Linked DNA regions of Arabidopsis thaliana. The protein of the gene in region 3 interacts with the protein of the main gene of each other region in a biochemical or structural test. Each region holds a gene or a part of one and is shown on either strand. Other genes may lie near its edges. The genes, in order: SERK4, AT2G14510, AT3G03770 and SRF6.

Region 1 (8,646 bases), on a different chromosome or scaffold from region 3:
TGTTCAAATGTTCATAATATTAGAGTTTTTATTGATTTTAAATATATTAATTCTAATATGTAAGACTTTTTTAAAATTAAAAATTAAAAATTTCCGCTAAAATTAAACAACTTACTAAAAACCGAATACAAACTTTTAAATTTGGATGCTTGTTAAGTTACACTTCTTGCTCATTCCAATTTGAATTCATATATGACTACGAATCATTGTCTAAACATTTTAGCCGATATAGGACGTGGAAGACACATTTTTTACTAGTTGGAAAATATATGTCTATTTTAAAATTTTGAATCACAATATATGCAAAAAAAATGGAGATTTTTCTTAACTCTATTTATTATTTGATGATTCAAAATAGCTTCCAAAATAATCAATCAAAGATGATAGGAAAATTACGGAATTGTGTTTTTCGCCAAACCATGTTTTCCTGCAAAAACAATAAAGTAATGTTTTTCCCGCTAACATCGGAAGATCTTATTTTTCACCAAAATAGTAAAATCAGTTTATATATGTTAAATTAATAATTTTGAAAATTATTTTGATGTAAATATATTTTAGAGCAACAATTAGATTAATATAGCTAAGATTAAGATTAAAAAAAACTGATTAGACAAAAGTATGAGTATTTTGGTCATTTGGTTATTAAACTCATCTAGATGGAGATGAAGATTTATAAAAATTAAGCAAACAAACAAAAATTCATTTAGATGATCCATCCAAATGAATATCCAAAAATTGAAACGAACATCATTCAGATGGAGCATTTGGATAGAATATTGAGATGGATCATATGAATGGAAATGTCAGATGATCAACCGAACAGACCCTAAATATCTATATTACTCTCTCTGTTTCGAATTATTTGTCATTTCAGGATTTTGCACATAAATTAAGAAAATAATTAAATATTCTACTTCACCCTTGTTCAATATATTTTCTAATTCTTTTTCATTGGTTAAGACATTAAAACAGTGAGGATAAATTGAAACTTTTATCGAACATCTATATTGAAAATCTAAAACAACAAATATTATATATGAAACAAAATTAAGTGCTAAAACAACAACTAAAGTAAAACAAAGGGATTATTAAATATGGAATATCAGGATCACAATTCCAGATATGATTTGACCTGATCCAAGTACAAAATGTACCTCAAAAATACTAATATAGGTGATATAATGTATTTTTTTTTTTTTGTTAAATTACGTATTTATACTAGATATATACAATAATTTAATTTCAATTTCTTTTTCAAACAAAAGAATAAATTTAATCAAGAAGATTTTGGTGGGTTCGAACCCATAATTCGAATTTCACGGAAAAATATTGTTAAGCTTTATTGGTTGGTAAACATCTTGCTTTATGCTCAAGTGGAGTAATGATATTCTTTATTCGTCAAGAGACACAAAACTACTTATAGAGGAGTTGATATTCAAAAGTGCATGGGTTTTTTTTGCATCTTAAAACTTCACCAATCTATATATATACTTGTTGAAGAACCCACAAGAAAAGACCCTTTCTAAAAGGTTATCTTGGACCCGAGGGGTAATCGTTTTCGATAAGGGAATTGGAATAGGGGATGAGCCAGTCAGTGCCAGCATGAGGATAGGCTTGATAGTTAAAATCATGTATTGGCATCTCCTCCTTTTGCCATTCTTCCCATCTCTCAGCTAAACCATCTCCTTCCAGCATTCTCACTACTTCTGACATCTTTGGACGTTCCATTGCAGAACTTTGAGTGCAGAGCAGAGCCATTTGTATCAGCTGCTCCACTTCTGTTTCCACGTACTTTCCTTCGAGTTCTGCATCCACAAGGCTTTCCAACTTCTTCTCTTTCAAAACCTCTTTCACCTAATCACACCCAGAAAAGAAACACTCTTCTTTATTGCAAAATAACAGTTTTGAACTCAAAAATATGATCGGGAACTATTAAAAACATACCCAGTCGAGTAACATGATATCATCATCATTTGCAAGCCGAGCAAGATCGAAAGCCTTTTGTCCAGTGATGAGCTCGAGAAGCATGACCCCGTACCCAAAAACATCAGTCTTCTCAGAAGATTTTCCTGTCGAGAGGTACTCGGGCGCTATATGGCCAATTGTACCGCGTACAGCAGTTGTCACATGGGAGTCATTATAATTCATTAATTTTGCGAGCCCAAAATCTCCAACAACAGCTTCAAACTCTTCATCTAACAATATATTAGCAGCTTTAACATCCCGGTGAATGATTTTTTGGTCGCAATGATCATGTAAATACGCAAGCCCCCTTGCTGATCCCAGAGCAATATGCTTTCTTTTTGGCCAATCAAGTGCTGGATTGCCTTCAGGACGCTCTAAAATAGAAAATCAAGGATAAGATACTTCCCAACTGACCAATCAAAAACCAGTCAAACAATACTATAGGACAAAGTTGTGGTACCTCTTAAACAAGAAGCAACACTTCCATTAGCCATGTAGGGATAAACAAGTAATCTTTCAGTTGGAGTCATGCAAAAGCCACGAAGCCGAAGCAAGTTCCTATGAACGGCCATACTGATCATCTCAACTTCGGTTTGAAACTGCAGTTCCCCACCCTTGGTACGTTCTTCTTTTAGCCTTTTGACAGCCACTAGATTGCCATCGGCTAAACGTCCTTTATACACTTTACCAAAACCACCTCTACCCAATACATTTTTATTGCTAAAGTTATCAGTAGCAACTAACAGTTCACGCAAGGTAAACCTTTTGAGTTGTCCTAAATGAACCTCTGGGTCTTCTTCAGCTGCAAAGTTTGGTCCACCAAAACAGATAAAAATCAGCCAAAGTAGCTTCAATGGGAAAATAGATGAAGAGAGTTGACTAACCAGGTACATCAAAAAAGTGGTCCTGTGGTTTTCTTCTGAGCCACCAAGCAAACGCAATGGCTGGAACAGCAAATAGAAGTGCTGCACCTGCAGCAACTCCCCCTGCTATTGCTGCAGTCATTTGCCCCCCTGATAGTATGAGATAACACACAAAGTTTATTAATACAGAACTCATTCGCAGTGAAGAGTTTCTATGGGAAAATAGTTAATTAATCAACCAAGTGGAACGTTTGAGCAAATGTGAAAAGAGCTAATACATTTTCCAGATCAAAGAGTTTCACAAGTGTCACATAGATCTTTGTGTCCCACAAATTGTCTATAAACACTCTTTTTCTTATAGTGTCCATTAACCCTTTATACTTCAGCAAATTAGCAAGTTCACACTTGTTTCATAATTTCCTTTTTCAGCAATGTCCATGAATTTCTGTTTCTACTAAGTCAAGCTGCCAGGTTCAAATCTATGTCACACTTATCATCTTCAACACCGATCAGTGTAAAATGATAAAAACTCTAGTAAGAAGTCAGATTTTTTCATTAGCAGGTTACCAATCCTACCAAAGACATGTGAAATATATAGATACGAATATAATTATGTTCCAAATATAGAACCATGAAACAGTCAAAACATATACATATCCACTAAATTTCTTTCCACATTCGAATGTGCAGCCATAAATAAAAAAGAATATAGTGGTCTAAGGTCATACCACTGTAGATAAGATTTCAAAAAGTAATTGAGTGCATGAGAAGGGAGATATAACGTTAGGCTAAATGTGAGAATGCCATACAGCATTCACCCATTAAAGATAAGAATAAAGAAGGAAGTTGGAAACTGAAGAATGTAAAATAACCGACAAGAAACACTAAGAAGAAAATGGAAGTGAAAACCTGAAGGTGGTGGTGGCGTAGGAGAGGTAGAAGTAGGCGGAGGTTCGGGAAGATCCGTTAAGCTATTATTCGCAAAACTGCAGATAACTTCCAAACAATTGGTAATTCATTCTGACAACTCTAATCAAGAATAAAGCTAGGAACACGAAGGAAAACCTGATAGGAGTGAAGAGCGAAAAAGAACCATTAACAGGAATATCTCCACTGAGCCGATTGTTTGAGATATCCCTGCATTTCAGGATGATACCATTTGTCAGAGCTCAAGATTGCACTAGAATATATTAAAAAATATTAAACAGAATAATCAGGAGAGACAAAGTTACACTCACAGAACTTGCAGCTGCACAGAAGTCAAAGTCATTGGAATTTCCCCTGATAAGCTATTGTTGTTAAGACGCCTAACCACATATAGTAGAATGTCAAACATTGAAATTAACCACTAAAGGAATTTAAAATCACTTAACATCCAGCAAAATACGATTTATCTACAAAAATAATAACAGAAATTAGAGCTGATGTAAGATCTTATCCAACTGCATAGAACTTTTAGGGCAGTGACTGAATTTGTTTATTGAATTTGTACACTGAGTCTCTAACTACTTCTGAAAAATTCATGATACACATGTACACATAAGTTTTTGATTATAGAAGATTCACAGGTCTCTTTTTTGATAGGACATGGCCTCAGGTTCTATCCAAACCTGAGGCAGGTTATTATCAAATATCATCTTACAGGCACGAAATAATGACATACAACTAAATTCATCATATATTCAATGGGTAAGCTTTTACTAAAGAAATCAAATTTCTTCTACTTGACTAAATGCGGGGTAGCAAACTAGCAAAACAAGGCTGCCTATAACAACCATCTCCCTGAAATACTTACACAAGACCGTGACCTTCATTAAGGTCTGAATGTTAGACGCAATAGTTTTTTAGCAAAGAAATACAACCAAACTTTGAAACTGTAAGCAATGAAAGCTAGCGGTAAAGAGAAGAAGCAGTTTATGGTACATACAAGAACCGGAGTTTTCCTAGTTTGCCAAGAGACGAAGGGATGGGACCGCTTATGCTGTTTGCGTAAAGATCCAAGCTTACTAGTTCCACCAAGTCGCCAAGCTCCTCAGGTATCTCCCCTGTAATGTTATTGCTATAAAGCTCCCTGTCATTAAGCAAACCTGTCATTAAGCTTTGCTTAATTATTGTCGATTGGAAAATCTCTAAAATTATTTTACCAGAAATTCAGGCTACAGAAAACATAATGAAGTATGTAATAAACAAGATACCCATTAATATGAAGAACTATAATAATCGTAGACAGCTAAGATACATGAACGTGGAAACTATATTTGTAAGCAATATTTTCAAAAAAACATTTTGCAGCCGCAACACAAATATGTAGAGTTGAGATCACCTGTAGAGAAATACCAGATCCAAACTCTCCAGTTACTTATCTAATAGAGTTAAATGAGAACATTTGACATAGAGAATTCAAAAAATAAAATGTCTTTCATAATGCCATGGTTCTAGCTGAAAGATGATTATAAAGGATTCCAGTAACAAGGCTCGAGAAGCCTAGCTAAAGAGATCTAAAATGGCACTGATTGGTGATTACCAACGATATCAAAAATAAATCGACATATATATATATATTTCAGATGCATCAACCACAAGAGAGCGCACACACATAGTTTTCTACTCTGAGAAAAAAATTGTTTATCCACAATTCTCTTTTGAAAGCAAAAACACAACTATGTCACAGTCATTAAACAAGTAAGATGAAGCATATGATATGCATAACAAATTCAAGTCCATCTTGAACACTATAGAATTAATCGACATTGAGGAAGAGATGGCTTACAAGTACTGCAAGTTTAAAAGCTGACCAAGTTCTGGAACCAACTTTCCAGATAGTTTTGCATTCCCAAGGTCACTAAGCAAACATCAAACAGTAGATTCCCAAAGGGATTATTGAACCATTCATTCAGACAAAACCAGCACAGAGAGCAAAAAAGAAGACAGAGAGAGAGAAACATACACACGAGTAACTTTATTCTCAGGATTGCAAGTAACATGAAACCAAGTACATGGAGTAACAAGAGTAGCATCCCAGCTTTGGAGTACATTGTTTGCAGGGTCACCTGATGACAAACTGTTTTTCAGCTGAGTCAAAGCATCACCTGTACACATATTCATAATCCAAACCAGCAAACAAACAAAAAAAGTTATGAACTTTCGAAATCTAACAACCACCAAAAAGGAAGGGACTTTTCATGAGAGTAGCAGAAAAAGGAAGAACCTTCAGCGTTTCCAGCGACTCTGAGAGTGAAATTGAATAGTAGGAGCAGATAAAGGAAGCAAAGGAGTGATCTTTGTTCCATTTTTGAACTTGTCATCAGAGTAAAAGCAAAGCCATTATTATTAGAGGTTTATTAATTCCAGGGACCATTTGGTTGATTCAGCCGTTGACGAAGACAAACGAAATAAAGAGAAAGGTTTGTTCTTTGTAACGCGTATTCGACATTTGACCAAGTTTCGAAAGAAACCCAAAAATCGAATTCTCGACGAAACCCCAGAACAAAAAGTCGAATCTATTTGGATTGATGATCGTGGACCCCATTTGAGCCAAAGAAGGAAGACTTGGAACAGAGTAAAGACTGATGATGGCGAGAGGAGTACTCACCATTGCTGGGCATAATATCCAAACCCAACACCCGATCCGAATCCAATAATAACCTGATCCAACCCGAACCCAAATTTTCAAAATACCCAGTTTTATTCCAAATCCAAAAAAAATAAACCCAAATCCGATTCCAACGGGTTTCTGTACATATCCACAATATAAATATTAATAATATATTATTATTAATATTTATATTTGTAATAATTTGTGTCAAAATATATAAATTTTGTGATATTTATAATATTTATAGGTATCTAATCACTTTTGAATAAATTTGGGTCAAAAATATGGGAGATTTTCAAAATTACCCTTTTTTTACTACTCTTTTGCAACAATACCCTTTTATATTGTTTATTTTTAAAAATATCATTTCCCTTGAACAGAATGACCAAATTACCCTCATCTAATAAGAACATGTAATTGGAAACTGAAAGTTTCCCGCCAAATTTATTTTTCCCGCCAAAAAAAAGTTTCCGCCAAACCTTTTTTCCCACCAAAAAAAAAACTTTCCCGCCAAAAAAAAAATTTCCTGCCAAAATTTTTCTCGTAAATTTTTTTTCCCAACCAAAAAAATGCTTTTAAAAATCCTTGTAAATTTTTTAAAAGCTTTGGTAGTTGCCAAAAACCCTTGTAAATCATTTTAAAACCTCTTAAAATCTTTATAAAGTCTTTAAAAACATAGATAAATACTTTTAAACCGCCTTTTAAACCTTTGTAAATCATTTTAAAACTTTTTACAATAGTTTTACAAGATTTACAATCGTTTTTTAAGCATAAGTAAGTGACATTGAATGATTTACAAGGGATTTTAAAAACTTATAAAAGGGTAAAACATGATTTACAATCGTTTTAAAGCATAAGTAAGTGGCATAGAATGATTTACAAGGGATTTAAAAAGTGTTAGCATGGTTTACAATCGTTTTTTAGCATAAGTAAGTGACATTGAATGATTTACAAGGAATTTTAAAAACTTATAAAAGGGTAAAACATGATTTACTATCATTTTTAAAGCCTAAGTAAGTGGCATAGAACGATTTACAAGGATTTTTAAAAATGGTTAGCATGGTCTACAATGTTTTTTTAAGTATAAGTAAGTGACATTGGAATGGTTTACAAGGGATTTTAAAAGCTTATAAAAGGGTAAAACATGATTTACAATCGTTTTTAAAGCATAAGTAAGTGGCATAGAATGATTTACAAGGGATTTTAAAAGTGTTTAACATGATTTACAATCGTTTTTAAAACATAAGTAAGTGTCAAAGAATGATTTACAAGGGATTTTAAAAAAGGTTTGCATAGTTTACAATTGTTTTTAAAAGATAAGTAAGTGGTATAGAATGATTTACAAGGATTTTAAAAGCTTATAAAAGGGTAAAACATGATTTACAAGAGTTTTTCAAGAGTTTGAAAAGGATTTTAAACATTTGTAAATCCATTTAAAACTCTTATAAAGTCTTTACAAGCATTTTTTAACTTTTAGAAAAAGAATTGTAAGTATTTAAAACATTTACAACTCTTTTTGAACCATTTTAAAACTCTTGTGAACCTTTACAAAATGTTTTAAGAAGATTTACAAGAGTTTTTAAAGGGTTTTCTTATAATTTTTTTTAAAATCTTTTTAAAACTCTTGTACATCTTTTAAAACCTTTTAAAAATCTCTTGTAAATCTTTTAAAACACTTTTAAACTCTTTAAAAATCTTTAAAAACTCTTGTAAGCCTTTTAAAGCCCTTTAAAATCTCTTGTAAGTCTTTTAAAGCCCTTTAAAATCTCTAGAAAATCTTTTTAAACCCTTTTAAAATCTCTTGTAAATCTTTTAAACCGTTTTAAAATCTCTTTTAAAACCCTTTTAAAATCCCTTGAAAATCTATTTCCCGCCCAAAAAAAAAAATTTACGGGAAATTTTTTTTTTGGCAGGAATTTTTTTTTTCAAAATTTTTGGTGGGAAATTTTTTGGCGGGAATTTTTTGTTGGAAAATTTTTGGCGGGAAATTTTGGCTGGAAATTTTATTTTGGAATATTTTAAGCGAAAAATATTAATATTTCATTTTGTTAACCTAAATCAATTTACAAATAAGGGTAAAATGGTCATTAAAATTTTAAATAGGGTATAAATGAAAATGGTAAATAGAAAAGGGTAGAATTGAAAAAGGGTAGTATGAAAAGGGCATTAAAAAGAATTTTTCCAAAAATATTCAAGATTTTTAGATATTTTGTGTATTAGTAG
Region 2 (7,585 bases), on a different chromosome or scaffold from region 3:
CTTCTCAAAGCTTTTAAACTTATTTACAAAGGTTTTTAAAGGGGTTTTAAAGAATTTACATATGTATTTAAAGACTTTATAAAGATTCAAAGAGGTTTTAAAATGATTTACAAGAGTATTTAACAACTTTATAAAGCTCTTAAAAAATTTACAAGGTTTTTTAAAGTTTATAAAGGGTTCTTAAAAAAATTTACAAGGATTTTTCAATGTATTTTTTTAGCTGGGAAAACATTTGTTGCGGGAAAGAAATTTTGGCGGGAAGAAAAATTTTTATGGGAGAAAAAAATTTTAGTAGGGAAATTTATTTATTTTTGGCGGGAAAAAAATTTCCAAGGAAAATTTTTAATTTCTAATTACATCGTATTAGATAAGGGTAATTTGGTCATTTTGTTAAAGAGAAGGGATATTTTTTAAAATGGACAACAGAGAAGGATAGTGTTGCAAAATGTTACTAGAAAATGGGTAGAATTTGCAAATCTCCCTATTATATTTAGGTTCTCTATTTCTAATTTATAGTATATATTTCCACTATTTAAAAAAAAAATTGATTCAATTTAAATTAGATTAGTGTTTGCTCTCATTTTTATTTTCTATCTTATATTTTAATTAAGTTTAATTGAAGTTTATAGTGTCATTTGTGAAATTTTAGAAATATTGTGCTAATTTTAGAAGAAAAACCTTTTTTGCTGTTATTTTTGTCAATTGCCCATAAATATTTACGTCTAAACATTTACATGAACGGACATAAGAGTAAATTGCATAGCAAGAGAAGCTTTTAATACAACATGTACGTATGAATGTAAATAATGCAATTCAAATAGGAGTAAACTGCGTAGCATGATAAGTTTTTAATACAACCTATACGTATCTTTCAAACACAAATATATAGATGAAAAGATTAACGAGCTGAAGGGATATCACTGATGAAAGTTACGGTATGTCCCAAGGACTTGCTTGAATTTTGATCTTGGCTCCTTATTTTAGTAAGGTTATATATTTCCAAACATTCATTAAGCTCATGAGCAACCCGAGTCATGTTTGGTCTCTGTGTGGAAGAAGGGTTAATGCACAACATCGCTAATTCAAGAGCTTTCCAAGATGAACTTGAGTCGTAATCTTGATGGAGATTCGGATCCATAATACTTTCAATATCACCATTTGCAAGCATAGACTTGGCCCATTCTACTATGTAAGACTTATCACGCGATTGTTCAATCACAGGTTGACCAGTGATACTTTCAAGTAACACAATTCCAAAGCTATAAACATCACTCTTCTCTGTTAACCAATTCTTTAGATAATATCTGCAAGAAAAGTAATTGAAATATTTTGGTTTTTGTTTACTAAACATACAAGGAAACATATCCTGAATACTATAATGTGATGTGAACTAGAACTTACTCGGGATCAAGATATCCAAGAGTTCCAGCAACATTTGTTGATACATGAGCTTGACTTCCCACTAGAAAAGATCTTGAAAGTCCGAAATCGGCAAGTTTGGCTTCAAACCGTAGACCTAACAGTATATTGGTACTTTTTACATCTCTATGTACCATTGGCGGCTGACATCCAATATGCAAGTACTCAATTCCTAGTACATAGAAAAATCTTCATATGTTAATCATAAAAATGAAGTCTCGAAGAAAGAAGAATAAATCAACTTGAGAAAAAGTAACAATGCTAGGCATTAAATAAATTTCTACAAACCTAGTGCAGACTCAATAGCTATTTTAAGTCTACTCGACCAATTCAAGACAGAGCCACCACGTTTTCCTGCCAAAATACACAATATGGATATAAATCGTTAGAAAATTTTAAAGCATTTGGCATGTAACTCAAAAATCTTTGTATCATACTCTAATGGTTTACCCGAAAGATGCTCCTTTAAGTTTCCATTTTCCATGAACTCGTAGATGAGAGCCAAGTCAATTCCTTCATCACAGTATCCGACAAGGCTTACTAAATTCACATGGTGAACTCTTAGAAGTAGTTCGACCTAACAATATATTCAACAATATGGTATAATTCATGAGCTCATGATTGTCGAAAGACATAAATGGAAGATTGTAGTGTAATTAAGTACTTCTGTTTTGAATTCCTTGTAGCCTTGAGTTGATGATTGAGAGAGAACTTTGACGGCTACTTGTTCATTATTGAGAAAACCATGATAAACAACACCAAAGCCTCCTTTACCGAGAACAACTTCAAAGTTGTTAGTCATTTCTTTGACCTCTGAATACTTAAATCTTCTATTTTTCATTTCCAATGATGGACGTATAACTGCAGAAAATAAATTTAACTATCCATTAGGTTTCATACTTTTTCTTTTTTTTTTGAATACTAGGAGGTTCTGGGCCGATAATCCCTCAGGCCCGAAACCACAACATGTAATAAGTTTTGTCCCAAGCGTCACTCGAATCGACGACCTCTAAGTTTCGCCTAGGGTCTTTATATTTATATATTTAGGATCATATATTTATTAACTTACCTTTGCGTGTTGATGACTTCCTCCTTCTGAAAATGAAGATGAGAACCAACACGATTATAGTAACGGCCACACAAGATATAGATGCAACAATCGCCACCAGCCAGGATTTTGGTTGGTGTTTCCCGCGCCGCGTTATATTTGGATCAACACTAAAAAATGAAAACGTTATTGACGAAATATTAACTATATAAAAATGTGTCGATAATAATCAAAACTAGATCATCGAAAAACAGACTCTTACAATAGTTTTAAACCATCATTCTTTTCTCTATCTTGAAGGGCTTGAGGAACAGAACCTCTAAGATTGTTTCCTCTTAAGTGTCTGTGGATGTGGAGAAATCATTAGAAACTAATTAATGAAGACAACACAATAATATTTAGGTAACTTACATGACCAACAACGGTTTGATAGTGGCTAGAAATTCAGGCACTTCTCCAGTCAAGTTGTTATTTGATAAATCCCTATAATGTTTCAAGAGATAAATGTTAACCAATCAAAAGCAATTGTTTTCCTTTTAATTCAAATTATGTAGATACGTACAATTCTCGAAGCATAGTTAGGTTCTGTATGCTAGGCGATATAACTCCAGTTAATCCACTCAAAGACAAATCTCTATTTGCATGACATATCAAAGATACATTTGTCATATAATTTGATAACAATATGTACAATATAAATTTTCTTACAATGAGATGATTCTTGGTGGTGTGGAGATATCTATAACGTTGCAGCTTACACCCATCCATGAAAACTGTTTAGGTACACATGGATCGCCCTGCCAGCTGATTCTACTCAATTGATAAGTTGATTGAATTTTCTTGATAGCAATGACTGGCAAACAAAAGAATCAAGCATAAAATATGCCGTATTTTATTACTACTTTATTCTTTTGAATAACTAAGAGGTTCTGAGCCTAAGCACGTACATCCTCTTAAGCCGTAGACTAAAGCATTTAATATGGTTGTCTCCCAAGTGCCAACTTATTACGTTTTATATATGTGCATAAAACTACACGGCTACATACCTTCATCCGTATTTGTGTCCGATTGTGGAAATTGTATGACGCTAAAAATCTCTATAGCATTCATTAGTGGTGGTAGAGTCGACTTCGGTGTTTTTGACAGCTGCACACGACATACCCCTCCCTCGCATTTTAGTGGTGCAGGGTTGGATAAGGTTCTTGCTTCAAACTTCCATGGAGTATAATCAATGTAATCAACACCATTCGCCAAAATTTTGAATTCCCTAGTTTCATTGACCTTTAATTGTTGGATCTCAGCAAAGAAAAGGTAAGCATAAGTTTCGTCATCAGAGGATTCCAAATTCCATGTAAAGGTCAATGGCTCGCTGCCATTAGTGGGTATGGAGGCGGTCTGAATTACACCTTGTGGCGGATTGTAGCCATCCGAAAAGCCACTTACATTCCGGGTTGTGTTTATTTGAGTCCATTCCGGTTGTGAATATGGCATCCAAACACGATCATAGACATCTTCGGGATAACTGCGACACTCAAGTATCAAGTTTATGTCAATGAGCAAAAAAAAAAAACACATGGTACTAAATATAAAGTATTCTGTTATGTTGTTGACATACCGTATTGCCTCGTCTGAATTGGTGAAGTAGAAGTGCGCCATACTCTTTAAGGAACCGGTTCGAGCAGTATAAGTATCATATCGCAAAGGTCTTAGTTCTATGGCTGATATCATTGGTGTACTTGTCCCTGTTTTGACGAGACATATGTCCAAGATGTTAGACCTTGTGACGTGAACGATCTCCTCGACAACTCCATCACCTACATCCGCTATTAGCACATCTACGCTTGTCCAAATATTTGGACCGAGAAAGAGGTCAAATCGCGGAGAAGTATTAAGACCGTCATAGTTTCCATAATAGAAAAGAGTCCTGATTAGATACTTTGTGCCTTGCTTCACACTCAAACTGTAGCAGTTTCTAATTCCATCCGGAAAGTATCTCAAAACCTTGAATGGCTTAAAGATAAAGTTTGTACGTGAGTTATTTTGGATATTACCAGTTTTTCCTCCTCGGATGAAATTGACATCTGATATGAATGTTAAATTACTCGATGGTTCGATATAAGATTCTTTAGACGGTAATCCGCAATCCAAACTGATGAATCCTGGTCAAACAATAAGTAACAATCGGAACAAGATTTCTTTTGTTTGAGATAATTCATATATCAAAAACATGAAGGAAACAAAATGAAAAAGTGTAAAACAGTAAAAATACCTTGTTGATTTTGAGACTTAACAAGAGACATAATGGAGAAAGTGGCACAAGCGAGTAGCATAAACTTGTTACGAGTCTCCATTCTTGATTCTGTTCTACTTCTCATTTCTCAACCAAACAAAAACTCAAACACACCAAAAAGTCTTAACACATTATATTATGAGAACTTAAAGTACAAAGTTGACAATGTCAACATATGGACACGTCACTTCCAAATAGAAAATGAGCTAAATTAATATCAGTGGCTGAAAATAATAACAGTCTAAAATAATATGTTTAAAACCTAGTTGTTGTCATGGAAGTGTAATAAATTAATATTAGTTTGGAAAGTTTAATACGAAGAAATTAGAAGTGCTTTGATATTTGATAATTTGGTTTAGGTTCAATATATACAAAAAAAAAAAAACATTCATAATTGATAAACACAATATTTTGTCCCATTAGACGGTTAGAAAATAAGATATTTATGTTAATTAATTACTTATCAAAGTTCACTATATATTGTATAATTAGACTTTATATATTTTCAGTTTTTTTTAAAACGTAAAAATATATTTTCTATTAAAATAATAGATTTTATAGCTTTCAAATTCTTTCTTAAAATGAAAAAGTATATTTGCTGCTTATGTTTTCAAATACTTTTTTAAGCAGTAAACATACATGCATGATTATATTAGGTTCGTGGTCCAACCCTGTATGTATGTTTGCTGCTTTCAAAAACAATTTTTCTTTCTTTGTTGTTAAACAAATAACAAATTTTCATGTACAAAATATTTTGTTGGGAGTATAATGAAATTACACATTACATCAAAACTTTTTAAAATCTCAACGAAAAAACATTTACATACTACAACCAACACTTTTATATAATTTTGACGTGACACACTTATAAGATTTTATACTCCCACTTCGAAAAAGTCTTACCATAAGATCCCATCAAATTTATTCTACTTGGCTGAGACGATTAGTTCAACATTGGACGTGCCTTATTTTTATTGGTACATGCATGTTGATATTTCCGATTAGGATCCATCTCCAACAATACAACTATATAATTAAAATTTAGTCTTCTATTATTTATCTGTTTTCTATATATCCATAAGTTTGATTATTATTTGATTTTTTCTCAAAGGGATATTTATTCATAAACCAATCTTACAAACCGGGTGAACCGGATAACCTAGTAAACCGGTACCCACAACCCCTTCAGCGAAATATGCAAACAGAAGCTGACACAATTTCCAGCGAGTGAACAACCGGAAACATCTCCGGATTATGAAAACAGACAGCTATTAAACCGAAAAAGATAAAGGATTCAATTTAATCTTCAAATTCTTTCTCTTCTCATCACTGGATCTTTTCCGAAAACAAAAGCATGAAAGAAGTCGTCGACAAACAATCAACGACGAGGTGAAGCTTCTGATCTCTTGTCATCACTTGCTAATAAGAATAGACTTTGGAAATTGATACCTTGACTTCTTGGAATGGCAAGACGGACCTCAAATGAGGTGATTGAAACCGTCAAAAACGCCGGACCGTTTCAACTATAACGGTTGGAAGGAGCCAAGCAACCCATAATTCGCCCAGATCTGAATTTTGATTCATGTGGATGAGACTAAAACAGTCGCCCAATCGAAACACCAAAACACTTACCTGATTGTGGATGGTGGTGGGACAGATCGAGAATAGACCATGAAACTTTCTAGTTAGAAAAGAAGAAAAAACTGATATCAAATTGTTTCGCAAATCAATTCGGTGAAACAAACACAACGGCAACAGAATAGCCATGAGAACCGCCGGATACACCTGATGGCGAGATAGGACAGCGAGATGGATCGACAAAACCGGATCACATCCGGATTCATAAGCCGGTAAAGCGTACCGGACGGCTAAATCTCGATCAAAATCTCTCTCTCTCTGAAAAGTTTAGAGAGAGAAGAGAGAGAGAAGAGAGAGAGAAGAGAGAGAGAGAGGTGTTTTTAAAGTGGGACTTGATATATCCCTATTTTCACTGATTTCATCTATGTTTTAGGTATAGGATTTTGAGTCTTTATGTTATTTCTCGAGTCTTTTTAGTGTCTTTTCAGGTATTCTATGCAGTGGGACGATAATGGAGATAAGGAGACATTTTGGAGCAAAAGATAAGAAAAAGGAAGTTAAAGACGATTTTGAGTTCCAGTTTCAGAGGAGTGTTGATCGACACACTCCTGGTGTCGATCGACACCAGTTTCGGCCCAGCAAAGTCCATGACGCTTTCAAGTTTACAGAAGAGGAAATTTGCCCCAGAAGACTTCCCTATTTGCATTATTAGTCCCTGAACATTTTATAGGGTTTTTATATTGTTTTTAGACCTAAGTTTTCTTTGATCAAGTTCTTTGCAAACCCTATTTTCAGAGACATAAGCTATTCATCCATTGTTCTTCAGAGATTCATTCAGTTTTCAATACAGTGAAGAGATCCTTTCTAACTCTTATCTTTATTGTTGTGTTTATGCTTTCTATATCAAATATGTTGTTTGCTTCATTCAATATGTCTGAGTAGTCTGCTTGTTAGGAATAGGGTTTCTCATTAGGGATTCATATGGTTTAGTAGATCGCTCCCCTGTTAGCTTATCTGTAGAATTCTTCATCTTTGATTAATCTTAATGCTAGATCTAGAGTAATTAACTAGATCTTGAATCCAGACAATAGATATGCCCACCATAGGTATCTGTAGTTGGATCTATTATTTGATGAGCCTGGTTTATAGGTGTGTAATAAGAATCGGCCTATCTACTAAGGTGAACAATCGAACTCGTTTAGAATGCATGTTTAGGTTAAAAATCTCTCGGCTTCTCTGGCTATTCTTAG
Region 3 (7,460 bases):
TAGTTTGAGGATGCGGTTGATAAATTAGCAAATGATCACTTCACAATTACGACATACCTAACAAAAACCACAATAAATCTTAATGTTGAACAAACCATCTAACCTAATTTATTACACCGCAAGACGAAAATGACACACACACACACACTCCTCTAGGCTCTAACGTACGTCTTAATTAAGTATTTGCTTTCGCTTTCTACAAATCACTTTAATGTAGTGTATATATATTTATGTGATAAAAACAGAATAATGTAACATATGAATGCATGATAGTAATCAAGAAAAAAACATAAAATAGTCGTATAAATGTATTTCTATGAAATAATCTCAAATTACTTCACTTAGCCAATAAATTTTCATAATATATTAATTTTATAGTTGCCAGTCGATCAATTTTCACTACCAGTTAAAATAGTCGTATAAATGTATTTCTAGCCGTTATTAATTTTCTTTTCGTCTACCAAATTAAAGATCAATCTTTTTTTGTTAAGGAAAAAGAAATCGAAATTGGAAATTACCACGTTCTATTTCGTATTGTTTAAAGTTGGCTAGTCGATTATAAGCTGCACCAACAATTTTTAGTTTTATTTAAACTATGATTGTATACGACGACATTGACTATTGAGACATGCAACCAACAGATACAAAACAAAACTAACCAAAAAATGAAACACGCAAAATGAAGGAAAAAAATAAGATAAATTAAAATTAAATATTTATTCCTAAACGATGCACAGAAAAATCTAACAGAAGAAGATGCTTATATAAAACCAGGTGGACTAAAATTTCACAGAATTTTGTTTTCTTATGTTTGTAAGCATTTACTTTACTTGTTTTCTTATACCTGCAACTATGAATCATATTAAAAAAAACTACAAGATTAATAAAAAGATGAATCACTCATGGCACGTGAGAGTAGTCAAGAGATTAAGACATCATGCCTTAGTTTCAATTTAATATGATTAAATACACGAGTTTAGTTTAAATTGTTTGTTAATTTGATTTCCAATTCCTTGCATGTTATTCTTTATTGATCATATTATATGTGAGCTAATTTGTTGTATTAAGATTGTTTTCTTGAACTTTGAAAAGGTCGGAGAAGATTGGGACCTACATGTGTCACTTTAAAAGTCTGGTGTGACCTTTCTGATGGAGATGCCTTCGTGCGAAAGCTTACATTACAGTATGTGTCACAACTTCGCTTTCTTTTTATTTTCACCTTAAATATATATATTACCTCTTTCAGATTTAAGTTTTTGGATGGATCTTTTTTTTTTCTTTCAGTTTGGTTTTAAGCCTAGTTTTTGATAAAATTCCGGTGTAGTTGTTGTGGTTTTTATGTTTAGTTTGTTTTCAGCTTTCTTACATGATCAAAATTCAAAACAAAATTAGAGTTACACTAATTTACTTGGTTTTGTTTACTCATTCTTGATTAATCTTGTTTAACTTAGCATACCCAATTAATTGATAGACAGACTTTTCTCAATCAAATTAATATTCATATAAGAAACTTTAAAAAAATATCAAAATTAAATCTATACTATATAAAGACTTGTTTGCCTCAGACTCGTATTTGTAGATCATCCCCCTAAAGGCCTAAACCCTAAAAGAATATTTCTCTTATCATTACCTTTTTATCTTTCTTTTTTTTTTTGTCTTTTTACTTTTTCTTGGCCACAGCTTTGGCTGGAGTGGATTTCTCTTTGGTCCCTATTTTTTTGAAAGTGATAATATAATATGAACATATTTAATGCTGATAAAATAATTTACTTTGTGTACTGTATAAATAGTGAGACAACCAAAAATAAAAAGATCAGAAAAAAACGTCGGCCAGACCCTGTTGGATTCGCTTTTTTTTTTTTCTTTTTTAATTTGTTAAAAATGCATGTGAACACTTACAAGATTATTTTTTGGACAAAAAAATTCTATTTCTATTTTGTTTGTTTGTTTTAAAATTATTTTTGTAAAAAGAATTTATCGTTGTCTTCATCTCGTGATGGAGACTTAGAGAGGAGGACCAAACTCTCTGTCGTTAGCCACTGACAATTTACTAAATCGTATGGTTGCTAAAATGTTTTTGCATTGATTTTACAGAATTTGTTTTTGTTTATTGTCTATTTAAAAAATAAAAAAAGTTTGTTGGGTTAATATTGTTCCCAGAGTATCCTCTGTTTTATTCTTATAAGATATAATAATCACTCGTGAAGGAATCTTGAATGTTTTTAAAGCTCCTTGAGGAACTTTCATCTCTTACAGAGGATTTTCTTGGGAACTTTTCTCACTTTCTTCTTTAAATCAAGTTGCTACTTTTTTTGTTTCTTTAGATAAAATCGATATTCCATTCACAGTTACTTCATAAGTTTGCAGAGGTATTTCTTCATCTCAAAGGAAACGATTTGTCTTTTCATTTTCTCATTCTTCTTACTCTGATGAAACCAAATTTTGTTTCCAGGAAAAATAAAATTTAATCTCTTGTGCTCAAAAGTTTCCTGCATCTTTTCTTCTTGCAAGGTGTCTTAAAGAGGAGATTCTGTAACACATGTGGTGAGTTCTTCCTGTTTTTCTGGAATTCACATGCAAAAATCATATTTTTTTAGTTTGAAGATTGATTTCTAAGATTCTCTTCTGTTTAATGCATTAACGAGAAAGTGGTTAAAATATCAAGATCTTGAGAGTGGACCCTGTTTTGTAAGTACATTATATATAAATGTGATTCTTGAATGAAATGTGTCTCTCTCTTTGCAGGTTTTGATGATGATGCTTATATGATTTTATTTAGTAGTTGTGTGTGTTTTATGGTCTTGTGTGGCTATGGAGAAACTCTATTGTGGCATGCCGTTACTGCTTCTGGTTCTGCTTTTAGCTTCCATTGATGGCTCTACACAGCTACAATCATCTCAATCTCAAACCCTCTTGAGGCTGCAACAGCTTCTCTACTATCCCAAAGTGTTAAACAGCTGGAACAACTATACAGATTTCTGCAATTCTGAGCCAAGCCCTTCGCTAACCGTTGTGTGTTATGAAGATAGTGTAACGCAGCTTCACATTATAGGAGACAATGGAACTCATATGTTACCAAAGAGTTTCTCAATAAACTCGTTTGTTACTACTCTTGTTAAGCTCCCTGATGTTAAAGTTCTCACGTTTGTGTCCCTTGGGTTATGGGGTTGGTTACCTCAGAAAATCAACCGTTTATCCTCTTTGGAGATTCTCAATGTGAGTTCCAATTTCCTCTTTGGACCAATCCCTCATGAACTCTCGTCGCTTGCTACTCTTCAGACGCTTATACTCGACGAGAATATGTTTTCTGGTGAGTTACCGGATTGGATTGATTCTTTGCCGAGTTTAGCTGTGTTGAGCTTGAGAAAGAACGTGCTTAATGGGTCATTGCCTTCTTCTTTGAGTAGCTTGTCAGGTCTTAGAGTTCTTGCTTTAGCTAATAACCGGTTTAATGGAGCTTTGCCTGATTTAAGCCATTTGACAAACCTTCAAGTGCTTGATCTTGAAGGAAACTCTTTTGGACCGTTGTTTCCTCGGTTAAGTAACAAGCTGGTTACTCTTATACTCAGCAAGAACAAGTTTAGATCTGCAGTTTCAGCTGAAGAAGTAAGTTCTCTGTATCAGCTTCAACATTTGGATCTTTCCTACAATACATTCGTTGGTCCATTTCCTACTTCCTTGATGTCTCTTCCCGCGATAACTTACTTGAACATTTCACACAACAAACTCACCGGGCGGCTTTCAGCAAATCTTTCTTGCAACTCACAGCTGATGTTTGTAGATATGTCATCAAATCTTCTTACCGGAAGTTTGCCTACTTGCCTTAAACCGAGTTCCGGCACTAGCAGAGATGTTGTCTATGCAAGCAACTGTTTGGCTACTACGAATGAAGATCAACGTCCAGTTTCTTTTTGTAGTAATGAAGCTCTTGCTGTTGGAATCCTACCACAGAGGAGGAACAAAGTTTCCAAAGTGGGTATTGCTTTAGGTGTAACCGCAAGCATTCTCGGGGTACTTCTCCTCGCCGGTGCCTTATTTGTGGTTCTTAGGAGATTAAATGCTAAGAAAACAGTGACGAAATCTTCCCCAAGATTGATTAGAGAGAATGCTTCAATGGGGTACACATCGAAACTACTATCAGATGCAAGTAAGAGGATAAAATATCTCTCACATATTGTCACATAGATTACATAGAACTTGTCTTCATTGATAACTTGTGCTGTAACTGCAATACTTTGAAGGGTATATCTCTCAAACAATGAAGCTAGGAGGGCTCGGTCTTCCAGCTTACAGGACATTCTCACTGGAGGAGCTCGAGTATGCAACAAATAACTTTGAATCCTCTGCTTTCATGGGTGAAGGTTCTCAAGGACAGGTACAGCAGTGAAGCTTCAATCTTTCTTTAGCTAGTTTCCATTTTTTGAACAGTTGAATCAAACAAGATTTTTGTTTTCATTGTTCTTTTCAGATTTATAGAGGGAGATTGAAAGATGGATCCTTTGTGGCAATTAGGTGTCTGAAAATGAAGAAAAGTTGCAGCACACAAAACTTGATGCATCACATTGAGCTCATCGCTAAACTGCGGCACCGTCACTTGGTTAGTGTGCTCGGGCACTGCTTCGAGTGCTACTTGGATGATTCAACAGTCAGCAGAATGTTCTTTGTCTTTGAGTATGTCCCAAATGGAGAACTCAGGACCTGGATTTCTGGTACCACACTGAAACATCATGTGTTTTAAGAATGAAGATGATCATTATATATTTTTTAATAACTAAATCGGATTGTTCTTGTCTCTGCTGTGCTAGATGGGCACATGGGAAGATTGCTTACTTGGGAACAACGCATAAGCGTAGCGATAGGTGTAGCAAAAGGGATCCAGTTCTTGCATACCGGTATTGTGCCTGGTGTTTATGATAACAACCTTAAAATGACAGACATTTTGCTTGACAATAACCTTGCGGCGAAACTCAGTAGCTATAATCTTCCATTGCTTGTGGAAGGTCTTGGAAAGGTAAATGACGATGTCAAAAGTTCGAATGTTTTTGTTTCTTGAATTTTGAATCTCTTTTGCTTTCCTTTCTAAGGTGGGGCAAGTAGGATCTCGGAGCGGACCTAAAGGCACTCCAAGGTGTGTAATAATCTTCTTTACTCTGTTTCTCATCAGCTTGTAAACCCGGTTATATGGTTTAATCCTCTGTTTCTCAAAAGAATCAAAAACGGTTTATATGGTTTAATCCTCTGTTTCTCATCAGCTTGTAAACCGGTTTATATGGTTTAATCCTCTGTTTCTTAACAGCATCAAAGACGAAGATAAAATCGATATCTATGATTTTGGAGTGATATTGCTTGAACTTATAGTGGGAAGACCATTGAGAGCAAAGAGTCAAGTCGATGTTCTAAAAGAGCAGGTAACACCATTCGATATATATGTAGCTTGATGTGGAATCGCTATCATCTACTTTAAAAACTCTTTTTTATTTGTTGTAGTTACAAGCAAGCATTTCAGCGGATGATGGAGCACGTAGGAGCATGGTGGATCCAACGGTCCATAGAGCTTGTTCAGACCAATCACTGAAGACAATGATGGAGATATGTGTAAGGTGTCTCCTTAAAGACCCTTTAGAACGTCCTTCCATTGAAGATGTCCTGTGGAATCTTCAGTTTGCTTCTCAAGTTCAAGAAGGTTGGCTACAAAACAGCAATCCCTCGAGCAATCTCGGCTCGCCTTCTCCTGCTGCTTCCTCTCTTCCTCCTCCCTCTCGTTTACACGTAACAACACTCGAATCTCCCCGAGATTCAGGTATTTTTGAACTCGATCTTTTATGATCAATTGATTCAGTTCAGAATAGAATTTGATTGTTAAAGATTTGAGATTGAATAAGTTTATTGATCTGAGACTTATTTGTGTGGTTGTAATTGCAGGATGTGAAGAACATGAGAGGTAGAGAGACGAGGGTTTTTGTTTGGTCTTGTTCACTGATCACTACTCTTTGGAAAGAACATAACCTTTTTGTTTGTAATTTGATGTTTGTTTTTGTTTTTTTGTCTTTAGTTGTGTTGAGCTTAAACGATCATAACAGTTAATAATATAGTTAATTTTTCTTATAAACTTTACTTAAAAGAACAGTGTCGGTTAATTTTTATTCTTCAAAAGGAATACAAGTCCAACAATGGTGAGATAATTTTGGAAAATTCAATCGTTTTTTCTTCCTGTTTTGTTCAGCGAAAATAAATTAAAATTGTATATAGAAATTGAGATGGAACCGATTTCTAGGGTTTAGAAAAGATTTGCTTGATTGATTCTTCTTGTCCAAGAAATCAAAATAGAGGATAATGGCTGGTGTTGGATCATCAAATCCTTTACTTATTTATTAATTTGGATTCGTATGTAAATTCAGTTAATTCCAACTAGTATGATAATTAACCAATAACTACATGCATATATCTCATTCAAATATTTCACGACAACTCTACATGTATAGTATACGTCTGCTGGATATACTTATTCTCTTTCTCAACATTATTATAAAAACGGAGATATATTTAAATTAAAGACAAACCCTAGGTAATACATTCATCTCCGGTGAAAATCCTCCGCCGGAAATATAACCTTCGAAGCCACCGCCGTCGATCCAACAGCCACCGAAAAATCAGCACCGCTCTCTTCCTCATCCTCATGCTGATAATCTCCTCTCCTTTGCTGATGCGGTGGCATTGGCTGCAACGAATGTTCTAAGTTAGTCGGAGCCATGACGTCATAGCTGACGGCTGCTGCATCTGCCGTCATGGTGAAGCTGTTCATGGCGGCTCCGGCGAGAGTGGTGGAGGCGGAGGAGTTGTTGGAGTATTCGGGTTGTTGCATAACGACTAATTGTTGTTGCTGTTGTTGGTGATGAGTTTGTTGTTGCATAACGTTGGCCATTGCGACTCTACTGTTTATCAGTTGTGATTGCACCACCGATAACTCCGCCTGTAGCGAGGCCACCTAATTAATTTATGGTTAGAAAAGTATTTTTTATTTAATTATGAGCATCAATTATTTATTAGTCTTAATATAGCATAGGAAATGAATTTGCATTTAACAAAAAATCTTACGAAATATTCGGTTCGATTTTAACCGTTACAAGCTTTACTAAATAACAAAATTTGGACACCTGATCATTAGTATATCTTATTAGAAAAAGTTAATCAAGTATTAATTTTACCTGTTGTTGGAGAGCAAGGATGGTTGAGACGCAGCCATAGACAGGATCAGAGAGCCTAGCTTGAGCCTCGTATGAGATCGTAACCACCGCATCATGACGACGGTTCACCGGAATATGATGCAACAGTTTCGACACGTTGCTGGCTCCGAAAACCTTATGAACCGCCGCGAACCTAGCCGCTCCTTGGTCTGACCCAAAATGTGGAGCGAAAATGCATCCACTCACACACTTCCTTCTCAAGAACTTGCAAGCCCC
Region 4 (7,592 bases), on a different chromosome or scaffold from region 3:
GCATGATCGGGAAGACGCACGAGAACTGGAGAGGAAACACAGAGAGAGAAAAGAAAGAGAGAGTAGGGAAGATGAAGACAGAAGAAGAAGAAGACGCCGTGAAGAGTCTAGAGATAAAGAGAGTCGGAGAGAGAGAGACGAAGATGATCATCGGAGTCATAGAGATTATAAAGAGAGGAGAAGAGAGAGAGACGATAGACATGGAAGAGAAGCTAGACATGAGAGAAGGGATAGATGAAATCATGGGCTTCTCATTTTAAGGGATAGATGAAATCATGGGCTTCTCATTTTTGCTCTATGCGGTTAAGGTTTATAGTGTTTAGTGGGATTTGTATTAATGAGGTTTTTGAACTACGGAGAAATGTATCTTTTGAGTTTTTTGACTAGTGAAGTTCTAAATTCTCTCTATTAAGTTCCGAGGCATTAGATGATAAAACAGTTAAAGAAAGAGACCAAACCAATTCTAGTAGTCATGTTTTAAACTGTTTTCTAAGAGTCTTTTGTTGTTATCTGCGGTATGTTATGAGTTTCACGTTCTTAGATTCAATAAATTTTCAAACTAACTTGCATAACGTTAACTTTTAAGTCAAGAGAAGCAAAAGAAAAAACACACACACCGTTATGTAATGTAACAAATTAATGATCATTCTTCAAAGTCGACCAAACCAATTGACGCGAAGTTAGGTCACCTACTGTTTTGGATAACGAGAATATTATTGACGGGAAATAAAACGGCACGCCGTATGTCTTGGCTGGAGGAAAACGACAGCACATCTGTCGTAATTAGTATAATCATTAACAGAAGAAAAAAATGAATAATTAACTTATGATAATAGACAGAGAGAATTAAAAAAAGTTTCCCACCGACAAAACTGGAGAAGTTGTCGTGTGAGTTAGGAAGCAACCTGGTCTATTATTCAACATGTTTGATATATCGTATAATAGTTTTTACATTGTTACATTCCTTTTTTTAAGAGACCATTAGATCATAAAATCGTAATTGCACAAAAAATGGTTGTATTTGTTGAGTGACACAGAACTAGTTGAACTGTGAGTATACACAGAATAATATTCTCTGTATTATTTATCTGAATAATATTGAAACCAATATATGGAAATGTCTGAAGATGACTTAAGATTCTCTGTATCATATATACAAGAAAACAACAAAAACTACGAATTTTGAAAAATTTAATAATTATATATGAATTCGTAGTTATATAAAATTAAATTAAATGTCTTTGTCACCCATACTCGGTTCTCGCTGGCACTTGCTTGACAGTTCAAGTTAAGATTCAGCTGCCTGAATAATAAACATTGAAAAGTTTCTCACACAATCAACTGCATACATTAGCACATACTTACACGAAACAGAGACAACCAAAAAGACTATACGAGCTGAGATAAAATATAAGTTAACACAAAATTTGTGTGCCTCGTCGATTATGAGAAAAATTAAGTTAATAGTCAAGAGAAATCAAGGACAGCGGATACACACATGGTCATGCGAGATGTTCAACGAAGAAGTTACAACTTATTATTATTATTAGTTACAACTTGCAAACCACGTACAAATAATTGATAAACTATTATTTAATGATTAAATGTCATGATAAAATTGATTACAAACTTGGAATTACTATGCAAGATACGTATGACCAAGCAGAACAACTATAATTGAGTTCAAGAGTTCCTCAGGGATTTGGTATTTTTCTTTTGGTATCAATGTTATATATTTATATTATTTTCGCAAGTTAGCTACAAATTAATTACACATATTCTTCTGGTAAACAAATTAGCTTTCTTTTCGTATTTACATTGACTTAGTTTTAGTAAAGGAAACACACAACGTCGTCCTCTTTTAATTTCTTTAGTATATAAACTTAGAAAAAAAGCCGGAGAAAAAAACGTAAAAGTAAAAAAAACACGATGAAATGCATGATGGGACAATTTAAAGACTAAAGAGCCAATCATAGCCATTAGCCAACCTTCATAGTGATATCCATTGTGTAAAATTAAAAGCAACCTTTAAAAACTTTAAAGAAATGAAATTCAAAAATACAATGATACAACCTCCAACGAACAAATTATTGTGAATAAATAATGGGTCAAACTCAAACCATAATCATGATACACCAACAAATGAACAAATTATTGTGGATAAATCTGGAAGGAACATAATAATACTGTAATTAATGTTCATATTATTGAGTAGAAGGGAAAAAAAAAAGACTTAAACAGAAAGAAACAAAAGAGCCTAATCTCCTATGTGGGTTTGGATTCTTAGCTTATTGCTAAAATCGTGCTTGACAGCTTTACTCTGTAAAAATTCGTTTACTACGAGCTAAACGAAACACTATATAATCTGTCATCAAATTTTTACTTAAGAAATTATTAGAATTCAAAACAAACACAAAAAAAAGTTTCTAGATTTCTCTTTCTTTCTTAAGCTTTTTCACAAGACTAGACTTTAGCTTATCGTTCTAGAGAGAGGAAGAAGATGAGGGAGAATTGGGCGGTGGTGGCTCTGTTTACACTATGCATTGTAGGGTTTGAGCTTAGATTCATCCATGGAGCTACTGATGCATCAGACAGTGAGTTTCTTCTTCTTCTGAGAATCTTCTTCACTTTATTTCGCTTTTGATTGATTTTAAGCTGAGTGGGTTGTTCAAAGTCTCTATCTTTTTCGTATATCCTTCAATTGATTCTCTTCATCCACAGTTTCAATCTTTACCTTTCTCAAAAATATGTACTTTGCGTAATGGCTTTTCTCCAAATCTCAAATATGTTCAGTCTTTTTGGGCTAAAGCTTGAACCTTTCACTTCTCTGTGTGTTTCCTAATCTTGAGAACAAAACATTATAGAGTTTATATATAATCTTGATGATCTCAAGTGGACTTTAAAGCAGGAACTGATTTGTGGTTAAATTTGTGTTGATTGGATTGTGGTTTAATGGTCTCTGTTTTCTAATTTGTGCAGCTTCAGCATTGAACACATTGTTCAGTGGTATGCATTCTCCAGCTCAGCTAACACAATGGACTGCAGCAGCTGGTGATCCTTGTGGCCAGAATTGGAGAGGCGTCACTTGTTCCGGCTCACGAGTTACTCAAATGTTTGTGATTTTTGTAATCAATATTCTTGTCTCCTGCTTTGATTTATATCTAACATAAGTTGTGTTATATTTACTTGGCAGAAAGTTGTCAGGTCTTGAGCTCTCTGGAACTCTTGGAGGATACATGCTTGATAAATTGACTTCTCTTACCGAGCTGTAAGATCACCCTCTGTCTAATCCTCCAAACTATTACTTGAAGTCGTGTTTAGAGATAATGAGTTTTCTAATTTGTAATCTTTGATGGAACTTGCAGTGATCTAAGCAGCAATAATCTTGGAGGTGATTTACCATATCAGTTTCCTCCAAATCTGCAACGATTGTACGGTCCATCAATTCTCCTTTGTTTTGGTTTCTAATGTAATATCTGTGCTCTCGAGTTTATAACCGTCGGTGTTTCAGGAACCTTGCGAATAATCAATTCACTGGAGCTGCTTCGTACTCACTTTCTCAGATTACACCACTTAAGTATCTGTAAGTAATTGCCTTACTTCACATTTCTCTCGAAATCTCTCATAAAGATGTGAATATTAATGTTTTGTCTTGTGCAAACAATTCAGCAATCTTGGTCACAATCAGTTTAAGGGGCAGATAGCTATCGACTTCTCCAAGCTCGACTCTCTCACAACCTTGTAAGATCTTAGTAAAGATACTCAAGGGTTTTTATCACATTAAGATATTTGACAAGATTACATGTGTTTCAGGGACTTCTCTTTCAATTCTTTCACGAACTCTTTACCGGCAACGTTTTCCTCTCTAACAAGTTTAAAATCACTGTAAGTTTTCAGGAACCTCTTACTGAACTGAAAGTTTACCAGTTACTAAACATGTGGCTTTTAACTTCTCACAGATACCTTCAGAACAATCAGTTCTCAGGCACAGTCGATGTCTTAGCCGGTCTTCCTCTTGAGACTCTGTGAGTAACTAAACCTTATTACACGTGAAGCTGGTTTTTCTTAAACATTTATTAACGTTTGGTTCTTCTTGAATGTTCCTCAGGAACATTGCGAACAATGACTTCACGGGGTGGATCCCCAGTTCTTTAAAGGGCATCACATTAATGTAAGTTCTCATTTCACACACATTTGCTTGTTTCTTTAAACCTTTAATCTCACTTTTCTTGTTTCTTGCAAACAGAAAAGATGGCAACTCATTCAATACTGGACCTGCACCTCCACCACCACCTGGTACACCTCCTATCCGTGGCTCCCCGAGCCGTAAATCTGGAGGACGTGAAAGCCGGTCTAGTGATGAGTCCACCAGAAATGGAGATTCCAAGAAATCAGGAATCGGAGCGGGGGCAATTGCGGGCATAATCATTTCATTGTTAGTAGTTACAGCTCTTCTTGTTGCTTTCTTCTTGTTCAGAAGAAAAAAATCAAAGAGGTCATCACCCATGGACATTGAGAAAACCGATAACCAGCCTTTCACTCTTGCTTCAAACGACTTTCACGGTATGCACACATATACATTACATTTTGCCTTTGGAACATAATTTAAGATTTAAACAAAGAAAAATCAACTTAAGACTCCATATGGTTGCAGAAAACAATTCCATTCAGAGTTCTTCATCAGTTGAGACAAAGAAACTGGACACTTCATTGTCTATTAATCTTCGACCTCCACCAATTGATAGAAACAAATCATTTGATGATGAAGATTCGACAAGAAAGCCTATTGCTGTCAAGAAATCCACAGTGGTGGTTCCTTCAAATGTGAGACTCTATTCAGTTGCAGATCTCCAAATTGCTACTGGCAGTTTCAGCGTAGATAATCTTCTTGGAGAAGGGACTTTTGGACGAGTATACAGAGCTGAGTTTGATGATGGAAAGGTAAGATATTATAATATTGTTATGTAATCCTAATCTCTATGTCTCGAATGATGTCATAATGTTGTTGGAAAACGTCTTATCTTTTAGGTTCTTGCTGTGAAGAAAATTGATTCGTCTGCTCTCCCACATGGCATGACCGATGATTTCATTGAAATGGTATCGAAAATAGCCAATTTGGATCATCCAAATGTGACCAAGCTTGTTGGTTACTGTGCTGAGCACGGACAACATCTCGTGGTCTATGAATTCCACAAAAATGGATCATTACATGACTTCTTACACTTATCAGAAGAGGAAAGTAAAGCATTGGTGTGGAATTCACGAGTCAAGATCGCTCTTGGGACTGCACGCGCATTGGAGTAAATTCCATAAACAATTCATTGCTTAGCTCACTATTAAAAAAGAAACGAGTATTTTGGTTAACTGAAAGTATTGTTCTTGCAGGTATCTGCATGAAGTTTGCTCACCGTCTATAGTGGACAAGAATATCAAATCAGCTAATATTTTACTCGATTCAGAGCTGAATCCTCACTTATCAGATTCTGGTCTCGCAAGCTTCCTTCCCACAGCTAATGAGGTTGGATATACAAACGTTTCTCAAAACTCTTTACCATTTCTCAACTTATTTGGTTGCTTAGATCATTCTGATATGTGCAGTTATTAAACCAAACCGATGAAGGGTATAGCGCACCTGAAGTATCAATGTCAGGCCAATATTCTTTGAAGAGTGACATTTACAGTTTTGGAGTAGTGATGCTTGAACTTTTAACTGGGAGAAAACCATTTGACAGGTAAACTCTATTATGATCCAAACTAGGCTTGATGTATGTAGTTGAGAAATGTGTTTCTGTTTGAATCTTACAACTGGTTATAATTTGAGCAGCACAAGGTCAAGATCTGAGCAGTCACTGGTTCGATGGGCGACACCACAACTTCACGACATTGATGCTTTAGCCAAAATGGTTGATCCAGCTCTTAAAGGGCTTTATCCTGTCAAATCCCTTTCTCGATTTGCAGATGTTATCGCTCTCTGTGTCCAGGTAAACTAATGGTCACAAATCGAGTCTTGCAAATTCAAGAAAGTCTTTTACTGATTTTGGGTCTTGTTTCTTAACAGCCGGAGCCGGAGTTTAGACCACCAATGTCTGAAGTTGTGCAGGCTCTAGTTGTGTTAGTGCAGAGAGCTAACATGAGCAAGAGAACTGTCGGAGTTGATCCATCGCAACGTGCTGGTAGTGCCGACACGACCAGTGATTACATGTAAATGCCTCTACCAAGAGAAAAGACAAACACTTTGCTCCGTCGGATGTTAATCATAGACAATTGGAAGATAGAAAAAAGCAACCTCATACATTGTATAATCCCATTGTTTTATTGTAATTGTATGTTCCAAAGGTGTAGCTTCTAGATCCTTTACATGAACAAAATTCTTTCTTGTAATCTTCTACATTGGTTCTATTTGGGCTTGGTTCAATTCTTGATCATCAACTTGTTATCAATTTCAAAAGACGTGAATTCACAAAAAAAAAAAAACTTAACAAAGAATTTATGAATCCAAAAGTAGTAGACATTGAAGAAGATAAACCCGAGTTACTGGAATAAGTTGTGAAACAAGTACTACAAAAGAGCTTGAAGGGAAGAGACACAAACAAAGAACAAAGAGTGTTTCGGAGTTTTATTTCGGAGTTCTTCTATCTGTCTCAATCTCTCTAATTGTAGACCATATACTTGGGAGTGGCACTGAACTTTTGGTAACCTTTAATGACTTTGTTCACTGCGTCTAGAAAGTCTTTCTCAGTCACAGTCTTTCTCCTAGCTCTGATTGCGTACATTCCTGCTTCAGTGCATACACTTCGAATATCAGCTCCTGCAAAAAGACAAGATTTACAAAACCCAAAGTCAGAACAAATTCCAAAAGACAGAAAAGCTGTTTCATGGTCAAGGGATCATCAATACCCGTTGAGTTTGGGCAGAGGCGAGCAAGGAGTTCGAAACGGATGTCTCTTTCGCAGTTCATGGTTCTTGTGTGAATCTTGAAGATCTGTGTTCTGCTCTCCAGGTCAGGTAGACCAAACTCAACCTTACGGTCAAGACGTCCAGGACGTAAAAGAGCTGGGTCTAGTGTGTCAGGCCTGGATTGAAGAGTTAATACAGAAACACCAATGAGTCAAGCAGTATTATTGGGTTTTGTAGTTTACTTGAAGATGGTAAGAGGGAATCGTAACTGACCTGTTTGTTGCCATAAGAACCTTGATGTTACCACGTGCGTCAAACCCATCAAGCTGATTCACAATCTCAAGCATAGTACGTTGGACTTCGTTATCACCACCAACACCATCATCAAATCTTGCACCACCAATGGCATCAACTTCGTCAAAGAACACAATGCAGGCTTTCTTGGACCGTGCCATCTGAAAAGAGAGTATTATTATACAATTCAGAACAAAATATAGCAGCATTGGCTTGACAAACTCAAGTAGCAAAAAGGAGTGTTCACAATCAATTACCTGAAACAGTTCACGAACCATCCTAGCTCCTTCACCAACATACTTCTGAACAAGCTCACTTCCAATAACCCTGATAAAGCAAGCATCGGTTCTGTTGGCCACAGCTCTAGCCAGAAGAGTTTTACCAGTACCAGGAGGTCCGTA

What was found.
Region 1: the proteins of AT3G03770 (region 3) and SERK4 form a complex in vitro, tested with the Arabidopsis thaliana proteins (one large-scale study listed by BioGRID).
Region 2: the proteins of AT3G03770 (region 3) and AT2G14510 form a complex in vitro, tested with the Arabidopsis thaliana proteins (one large-scale study listed by BioGRID).
Region 4: the proteins of AT3G03770 (region 3) and SRF6 form a complex in vitro, tested with the Arabidopsis thaliana proteins (one large-scale study listed by BioGRID).

The regions. Positions count from the first base shown.
Region 1 is NC_003071.7:5,739,466-5,748,111, reverse strand, and holds SERK4 (somatic embryogenesis receptor-like kinase 4), read right to left. Parts: upstream 6,521-8,646; 5' UTR 6,134-6,520; coding exon 6,037-6,133; intron 5,918-6,036; coding exon 5,776-5,917; intron 5,671-5,775; coding exon 5,599-5,670; intron 4,900-5,598; coding exon 4,756-4,899; intron 4,136-4,755; coding exon 4,067-4,135; intron 3,966-4,066; coding exon 3,894-3,965; intron 3,815-3,893; coding exon 3,738-3,814; intron 2,979-3,737; coding exon 2,850-2,978; intron 2,768-2,849; coding exon 2,426-2,767; intron 2,340-2,425; coding exon 1,945-2,339; intron 1,855-1,944; coding exon 1,531-1,854; 3' UTR 1,279-1,530; downstream 1-1,278. UniProt on the Arabidopsis thaliana protein: Dual specificity kinase acting on both serine/threonine- and tyrosine-containing substrates. Positively regulates the BR-dependent plant growth pathway and negatively regulates the BR-independent cell-death pathway. Required during SCOOP small peptides (e.g.
Region 2 is NC_003071.7:6,170,235-6,177,819, forward strand, and holds AT2G14510 (Leucine-rich repeat protein kinase family protein), read right to left. Parts: upstream 4,862-7,585; 5' UTR 4,843-4,861; coding exon 4,737-4,842; intron 4,627-4,736; coding exon 4,083-4,626; intron 3,990-4,082; coding exon 3,514-3,989; intron 3,321-3,513; coding exon 3,176-3,320; intron 3,102-3,175; coding exon 3,030-3,101; intron 2,951-3,029; coding exon 2,879-2,950; intron 2,811-2,878; coding exon 2,730-2,810; intron 2,638-2,729; coding exon 2,489-2,637; intron 2,281-2,488; coding exon 2,084-2,280; intron 1,997-2,083; coding exon 1,870-1,996; intron 1,774-1,869; coding exon 1,708-1,773; intron 1,592-1,707; coding exon 1,402-1,591; intron 1,305-1,401; coding exon 899-1,304; 3' UTR 708-898; downstream 1-707.
Region 3 is NC_003074.8:943,788-951,247, reverse strand, and holds AT3G03770 (Leucine-rich repeat protein kinase family protein), read left to right. Parts: upstream 1-2,009; 5' UTR 2,010-2,369; exon of another isoform or gene 2,370-2,452; 5' UTR 2,453-2,544; intron 2,545-2,745; 5' UTR 2,746-2,811; coding exon 2,812-4,147; intron 4,148-4,241; coding exon 4,242-4,375; intron 4,376-4,468; coding exon 4,469-4,709; intron 4,710-4,805; coding exon 4,806-5,011; intron 5,012-5,084; coding exon 5,085-5,128; intron 5,129-5,296; coding exon 5,297-5,408; intron 5,409-5,487; coding exon 5,488-5,800; intron 5,801-5,922; coding exon 5,923-5,945; 3' UTR 5,946-6,171; downstream 6,172-7,460. Other genes in the region: LBD20 (LOB domain-containing protein 20), read right to left, coding at 6,575-6,985, 7,206-7,460.
Region 4 is NC_003070.9:20,059,271-20,066,862, forward strand, and holds SRF6 (STRUBBELIG-receptor family 6), read left to right. Parts: upstream 1-2,134; 5' UTR 2,135-2,500; coding exon 2,501-2,594; intron 2,595-2,979; coding exon 2,980-3,112; intron 3,113-3,193; coding exon 3,194-3,268; intron 3,269-3,365; coding exon 3,366-3,431; intron 3,432-3,511; coding exon 3,512-3,583; intron 3,584-3,669; coding exon 3,670-3,741; intron 3,742-3,813; coding exon 3,814-3,885; intron 3,886-3,959; coding exon 3,960-4,025; intron 4,026-4,108; coding exon 4,109-4,171; intron 4,172-4,246; coding exon 4,247-4,563; intron 4,564-4,654; coding exon 4,655-4,941; intron 4,942-5,028; coding exon 5,029-5,300; intron 5,301-5,385; coding exon 5,386-5,518; intron 5,519-5,598; coding exon 5,599-5,732; intron 5,733-5,821; coding exon 5,822-5,981; intron 5,982-6,058; coding exon 6,059-6,205; 3' UTR 6,206-6,443; downstream 6,444-7,592. Other genes in the region: CYP59 (cyclophilin 59), read left to right, coding at 1-238; RPT1A (regulatory particle triple-A 1A), read right to left, coding at 6,651-6,808, 6,898-7,073, 7,171-7,352, 7,449-7,592.